Linked DNA regions of Ovis aries. The protein of the gene in region 2 interacts with the protein of the main gene of each other region in a pairwise test. Links are inferred from orthologs where the notes say so. Each region holds a gene or a part of one and is shown on either strand. Other genes may lie near its edges.

Evidence for each region.
Region 1: the proteins of BEND7 (region 2) and PPP1R37 interact in binary tests that used the Homo sapiens proteins (3 or more experiments, as listed by UniProt). The two-hybrid records come from large-scale screens. The link is inferred for Ovis aries from reciprocal best matches to the Homo sapiens genes BEND7 and PPP1R37.

What each region holds. Positions count from the first base shown.
Region 1 is NC_056067.1:52,552,302-52,556,047, forward strand, and holds the start of PPP1R37 (protein phosphatase 1 regulatory subunit 37), read left to right. Parts: upstream 1-1,442; 5' UTR 1,443-1,589; coding exon 1,590-1,791; intron 1,792-3,746. UniProt on the Homo sapiens protein: Inhibits phosphatase activity of protein phosphatase 1 (PP1) complexes.
Region 2 is NC_056066.1:27,562,553-27,566,298, forward strand, and holds the start of BEND7 (BEN domain-containing protein 7), read right to left. Parts: upstream 2,392-3,746; 5' UTR 2,248-2,391; intron 1,670-2,247; exon of another isoform or gene 1,397-1,669; 5' UTR 1,259-1,396; coding exon 1,198-1,258; intron 1-1,197.

The DNA.
Region 1 (3,746 bases), on a different chromosome or scaffold from region 2:
CCTTTTCCATTTAACCCCAGCTTTGTAGCCTAGCTGTCCATTTCACACACTTAGCCCCATTACTAGCAGTCTTTCAGCAGATTTACTTTATTTATTTGGCCATGACACTGGGATCTTACTTCTCATACCGGGGGTTGAACCATCCCCCCTGTAGGGGAAGCAGAGTCCTAACCATTGGACCTCCAGGGAATTCCCTCAGTAGATTGTTTTAAAAAGTAATTTCTGCCCCCTCTGTAGTCCCATGAGTTTAAGAATGTAAGTGAAGATTCCGTTCAATATAGATGTGATTTGCTTTGGTCATCTTCAGTGGTCAAGGTGCGGCAACCACTGAAGTTGAATGAGGCTTGTGCAGGGCCTCAGCTCCCATTTGTTCATTCACAACGCTACCTCTGGCGACTCCTGGGCCCAGATTTCGAGTTGCCTTAGCAACGACATCACTTGCTCCTCCCCAAGTCACCTTTTTTGGCTTTAGCTCCGCCCACCCAGGGTTGTGGTTGGGTTGGGATAGAGCGGAGAAAGTGCGGAGGCGAATAGTAAACGACTGAGTCAGCCCTTGTGGGGGCGTGGCTTGAGTTCGTGCTTGTTCGCTACTGGCTTCGAGATCTACCTGCTCCATCGCCGGGTATTTCGGTTGGAAGATTCGTCCCTTGCTTTCGGAATTTCTTCCTTCGTCCAGCTCTTTCTTTTCTTAAAAAAAAAAAAGCTAAACTAAGGCTAGAACACACCTATGGACTCACATTTCCGTTTTTAAGTTTATATAAAATACAATTTATACAAAAGAGCCCGACACGACTTACCGCCTGTATAACCACAACATCCAAAGAGGGTCATTGATGAAATTGCAGTCTGCAAATGGAAAGCTGGAGCCTAACCAGCAAATGGAGACAGGCTTTGTCTCCAGCCAGAGGTTCCCTCTGTCAGCATCCATCACCTGTACTCATATAATCAACACAACTCCTATAGCCTTTCAAGTTCTCCATCCCGTTATTTCTCTCCATATCAGTTGGCCTAGCCTCACCAAGCATATGTTTTTATTCCTATCACCTCCACTCCTTTCTCCGTTGCCTGAGCTCGTGACGAATGTGTGAGGGCCTGAATGTTAGTTATCTACTTTGAAGCGGGGAGGCGTGGGGCGGGGGAGCGGCTTAGGTTCGCGCTTGCGCGCTGCTCCGGGAGACGGCGTCTATCTCGCCCCGCCTCTCGTATTCTGCAGTTCCGGCTCTGCAGATTCACTACTCACGTTTCTTTTTCCCGTGGCTCTTTCTGCTTTTTGGTACCCGCTTTAACAACGCACGAGACAACTCTACCTGAAAATAACTTAAATTGATTTTCTGCTTTTTCGTGTATGCGGCGGGCTCACTGGTCCTTAACGAAAGTGCGGCTGCGAACGAGCAGACGCTCACGGGGCTCGGGGGAGGCGCGCTCGAGCTCCCGGCGGCGACGACTACGACGACCAGGAGAGGGGACGGAGTCGGCGCCTGAAGCAGTGGCTGAGCCCATGCCCCGGGACGGCGGGAGGGCCCGGAGAGACAAGTCCGGGGCCCGGGGCATGTCCCCAGGGCCCCCGTGAGGAGGCGGCGGCGGCGGCGATGGAGATCCCGCCGCAGGAGGCGCCGCCCGGGCCGGGCGCGGACGGCGAAGCCGAGGAGGCCCCCGCCAAGGCCCCGTCTCCCGGCCCCGCATCGCCCCCGGCCGACGGGCGCCTCAAGGCTGCGGCCAAGCGCGTTACGTTCCCTTCCGACGAAGATATCGTGTCCGGAGCTGTGGAACCCAAAGACCCCTGGAGACATGGTAGCCACGGCTGGAGCGCGGGGGCGGGCTGGTTGGGGACCTGGGAGTCGTGCGGCCACCAGTACAGAGGTGGAGCTCAATAAGTTGCCCCTAATAATGATTTAAGGAGACAGTCGTCCGTTTAGAGCTTGGAGGGTGTTAGAGAGGGAGTGGCTGTTGGGTTGGGAAGGTGAACATTAGCTGGTGTATGTTACTGCCTCTCTCCCCTCCCCAAGGGACGCTGCTGGTGATCGTTTGAGGAATTAAGACGGTGAGCAATCAAAGAAAGTTTAGTGGCTTGGGAGATTGATTAGGAGGGCAAGTAGCCTTTGAGTTCATAGTTTCCTCAGAGAAGGATAGAACAGTCAGGGGAGGAAGAGTGGGTCAACGTTGTCGCTGAAAGGGCAGTTGGAGGAGTTTGATGGGCCCATGGGGACAGAAGGAGGTTACAGTTGTCGGTCTGCAAGCCTCGGGGCTGGGGATGGTCACGTGACTCAACTTCCTTGGCTGAAAGGAGGACAGGGAGTAAACTTGGAGCCTGGCGGTAGAGGAGTCAGTCAGTCCTGGGACTGGGAAAGGGAGGCAAGGTAAACAAACTTGCAAGAAAAAGGAGCTAGTTGGTGGTCAGTTTGAGGCTGGTTGAGATAGTCCAGGGAGGTGTTCGATCTTGGCATTAGGAAGAAAAATCACCGTGCGCCTCCTCTTCCTCTCCTCCCCTACTCCCCCCCCCCCCCCAAAAAAAAAGGGAAGCAGAACATTGTCAGTCATTCAGGAGCAGAGGAACTTTGGAGCCTGGCTCTGGGAGGGCTATCCTTGTTTTGTTTCCTCTGGCCCTGTCCCGCCTGCCCCGAGAAAGCCTTGGAGTTGCTGGCGGTGGAAGGTGAGAGCGCTGGAGAAGTTTGATGGCTTGAGGTGTGGTGGGGAGAGAGCGACTGCATAGGTTAAAAGTTCTCTAGAGAAGGTCAGCTCTGTGTGGGAACTGAAAGAGCAGTTGGAGGAGTGTGTTTTATCTGTAGGGCTGGGAAGGTGGAAAGTGGCTCCAGAGATGGATGGCAGGGTTGAGTCCTGGACAGGTCTGGGACTCTTGCAGGGATGGAGCCGAAGACGAGAGGGATCGGCCTGGACCCTGGTCTATAGAAGTTGGTCTGTGGGCCCTGGGAGAGCGGTAGAAATGTTGCTGCTCTGTGGGCAGTGGAGAAAGCAGTGGCTTTGATGTGAGGGTGGGAAGCGTGGGAGCTGAAAGCTGAACACACGAGGAGCGGCCGTGAATGCCATCTTGGCCTGTTAGTGTTTTGTTTGTTTTGTCTTTTGGCTGCATGGTGTGGAATACGGGATCTTAGTTTCCCGACCATGGATCAAACCCCGGGCCCAGTGCTGTGGAAGCACAGTCCTAACCACTGGACCTCCAGGTAATTCCCCAGCCAGTTATTGCTCAAGAGACAGTGGTTAATTTAAAATTCTTGGCCTTGGGAGCCAGCCAAGTCCCTGGGCTCTCGGCCTTCAAGATAGGTTAGGTTGGAGGGCTTGGGGAACTAGGGCTGAGGAAGGGAAGAGGGAACAGGCCCCAGATACGGCATCCGGTCCAGGGAGCTCAGAGCAGGAGGGTAAGAACTGGAGAGGCAGAGCGGGATGGTGGCTAGCCTGGGCTCCAGCTCAATCCTGAGTCCCATTTACCCAAAGCATGACCTCAGGCTGGGTTCCTAACTCCTCAGAGCCTCGATGTCCCACCTGTAAGTGGGTGAGAGTAGCCATGCCACGGGGTTTCAGAGAAGACTGAATAAGGTTGTGTGTGGAAAGTGGTCGGCCAGGGTGGGCCTTCATGAGGCTGCAGTTATCGTTGGTCATTTTAGGGGTGACGTTAGGTGCTACTGGTCGTTTTAGGGGCTAGCCTGGATGAGTTGGTTCGTGGAGTTGGGGGCGGGGGCCGTGCTTCACAACCTTCCAGTCGGTTGGTGGGCTTGGGCCCGGGGGAAGGG
Region 2 (3,746 bases):
CGGAGTTAACAGATAGGAGTAGATCTTCAAAATGTCTATAATCAAAATCAGTTTCAGACTCACTGAAAGCAGGCTTTATTGAATCTACACCATAGTTAGCTTAGCTGGAAATTGCAATCGCCCTCTAATTTTCATCAGCTTACATGTGACTTCTCCAGGTTGTTAAAACAATCGCCTTGCTCTCTAGTCTGATGCCAATGCTAGATACTACAAAAGAGGAACAAAGTGGACAGGTTCTCTGGTTTGGTTTTGACTTCAAGCTGATTTAAAGACGACACTTAAACAGGATTATTCTAAACTCAATATTGCGACTTGTGACATGACAGGGAGAAAAAGTCACCTGCCTCTAATTTAAGGTGACACGATGCATTTTGATAGACATAATTTTTTGTCTGCCCTTACATTATCGTTTTTTGAAAAGTCAAATCAGGAAAAATAAAGACTCTTTAACAAGTCACTGAACACAAGCAGGACTATTCAACTTTCCTCTCCCCTAATAAAATAAACCGAAGTCCAGAGACCGCGGTGTACACCTGTTAAATCGTCAGGGACCGGCTGGATTTTTTGTTTTTTTGTTTTTTTTTTCTTTTTAATGATAACTTATCTGACTGTTACGTGATCTATTCGAAAACATCTTTCCTGCCCAAATGACATATCCGGGAAAGATGCTGCATGTCAACAATTCTTCTCTGGGCTTGGACACCTACTGAGCTTCTTTCTCGGTCTTACAACAGCCACCACCACCTTTTCTCCTTCTTTTTGTAGGAGGGGGGCGGAAAAAGCAAACCAACCCCAAACCACCACGACCATTGGTCCGGGTGGGTGTCCGCACGGCCTCATGGAGACGCGTCCTCCCCCACCCGGCCGCCAAGCCACAGGAGAGGAATACCAAAGAAGGCTCCCCGCTCCCCAAGTGTCATTGTTTGCTAATTTCCTGATGTGCCCTCCGACTTGTTTACGCGGAATCACATCCTGCCTCCCCCCTCACCCCCAGCCGCACAACTTTCCTCGCCGCCCGGTGTGTGTGCGGCCGAAGCCCGACTCGGGGAGGGGACCCGGGGGGGTTGGGGGGGGTGTACCAGGAGCCCCGGCCCTCGGAGTTGGCCGCAGCGCGGGCCGGGGGCTGTTTACGCGGCAGCCAAGTCCTCCCTCGGCCGCCCGCACGCCCCCCGCCCGGCCCGGCCCGGCCCCGCTTACCTCGGTTCACCAGTTTGAAGCTCTGGGATTTCCTGCTCCGCTTCCTCTCCGAGAACTCCATGGTGCGGCGGGCGGGCAGGGCAGGGGCTGCGGCCGGGGGCGGCCAGGCGGAGGGACAGAGAGAGCGGCGGCCGAGGCGGCGGCGGCGGCGCTGGCTCTTGTCACCCGGCAGCGGGAGCGCGGGGACCAAGGTCCGTCTCTTGGATCCGCAGGGGGGAGGCACAAGCAAGGGAAAAACCACTCGAGCCCGCCCGGGGGCTGCGGCCGGCGGGGCCGGGCAGGAGGCGCTCTCCCGGGCGAAGTTGCCCCCTCCTGGCCGCCGCTCAGCTCGCCCCCCGACCCCGGCTCATCCCCGGCTGCCGGGCTAGACGCCGCCGGAGCCGAACTTTCCGTTGGGGAGCGAGTTGGGGGCGGGGAGGGCGGGCCGGGGCTGCCGGCGCCCTGGGCGCTCGCCGCGGGCCGGCCTGGGTACAGCTCCGGACGCGGCGGCGGCGGCGAGCGCGGCCCCGGGGACGCGGCGGGCGGGCCGAGGGCGGCGGCGGCGGCGGCGGCAGGGTGCGAGCCGGGTCGGGGCGCTGACCGCCCCCGCGGGAGGAGGGGCGCCGGGAGGAGGCGGCGCCGCCGGGACCCCGGGGCCACCTGCTGGCGGAGCGCGGCCGCCGCCATCCCCCGGGGCCCGGGCAGCCGCCACCCACCGGCCTGGCCGCGCGGCGCCCGGAGGAGGAGCCAGAGGCCGCGGCGCTGCGCCCTCGGCCCGGCCGGCCCACCCGCCCCCGGGGACCGCCGTCCCTGCCAGGCGCTGGGATCCCGACGCCGGTGCCTCGGGGGCCGGCGAGTCGGGCTGCGGCTGCCCGGGGGAGCCTGGCTCCCGGCTCCGAGCTCGCCTGCATCTTCCCGGGGCCGATCTGGTTCTCAACGGCTCTGGGTGTCGGCGACCCTTCTGGCCAGCCCACTCCTCTCGCCATGAGATTCAGGGTGTCGGAGGGCCAGACACTGGTTTCAGGCAAGTTTTAGGGGGGAAGAAAAATCAACCAAAACCCAAAAACTTACCCATCTGAGCTCTGCAAGGAAAAGAGATTTTAGAATTTACTGATCAGACGAGTATGGAAAAGAGTGAGCTTCAGTTCTTTACTCCAATGCGAGGAGGGATGTAGGAAGATTGGGAGTTAAGTTCAGGGAGAGAACTTCGAATGTGGGGCTTGGAGAGGGTGGATAGGGTGAGCAATGCGACGTCAGTGGGTGCCCCACCTCTCTTCTGACTCTTAGAGAAGACATGGCCAAGGCAGGTGCAGAGGGCTCTGCCATTGGGTGTGCTAAAGCCAGAATAATCCGCAGGAATGGAAAGCTTGTGTTAGTTTTATACTGTATCCTTTTCTAGGGAGCTAAGAGTACCCCATTGCTTTTTCAAAACAACTTTATTGTGGGGATGGAAGAGAATTCTATACCAGCGGGGACTGGCAGGTCAGAAATGTGATCGGATAAGCTTGAAAAGTACCGCCACCAAACTGGTCATCTCTAGACGCAAATACAAAGAGAGTAAAGAGATGGACGTCGGAACCAGCAGTGTGACTAGTTCAAGTGACCTCAAAAGAGTGGAGAGGAAATAAAGGGGGAGAATATGTTGATAAATGTGGTAACACTGCCAGTCTCACGCAAATGAGGAGGCAGCTGCTCAGGACTCACTCTTTTTCTTTTTTTATAATTTTGTGTATTATTTATTTTTGGCAGTACTGGGTCTTCCTTGCTGGGCAGGTTTTTTTCTAGTTTTGGTGCTCAAGCTTCCCTTTGCAATGGCTTCTCTTGATCTGGAGCACCAGCTCAAGGGCTCCATAGTTTCAGTTCCCAGGTTTTAGAGCACAGGCTCAGTAGTTGTGAAACTTAGTTGTTCCTCAGCATGTGGGATCCTCCAGTATCAGGGATGGAACCCGTGTCTCCTGTATTAGCAGGCAGATTCTTTACCATGGAGATACCAAGGAAGCCCCAGGATCCTCTCTTATTTAACAGGAACACCTAAGAGAAAGAGGTAAGTTGGAGGCAACCTGCGTAAGCATATACACACCAGGAAATCAAGGAACCAGATAACCCATCAAACAGCAGAAGCAGAGCCTGGTATACCTTCTGAGGTCTTATGTTAGGCTGTATGTATATATGTAATAAGTGGGGAGGCTGGTTTCAAAGTGAGAAAAAGGACAGTTCAGGGGACTTCCCTGGTGGTCGGGTGGTTAGGACTCCGCACTTACTGCAGGAGGCTCAGGTTCCATCCCTGGTCAAGGAACTATGATCCTGCATGCCAGTGCAGCAGGGCCCCAAAAAACAAACAGAGGAGTGTTCCTTCTGTTCCCTAAAATGAATCCTTAAATAAGAGGTTTTTAATCTTTTGCTCAGTCTCCTTGGAGATTATATTCAGAGTTCAGGGCTTTTTCCTAGAAGATATGTGTAGGACAAACAAAATTGTATACATTTTTTGGAGTTCTAAAAGGTAGCAGAAAGGATTAAAGTGATAACAAGGATTGGTCAACTACTCTATTTGGTTTTCTACTGTTTTGTTT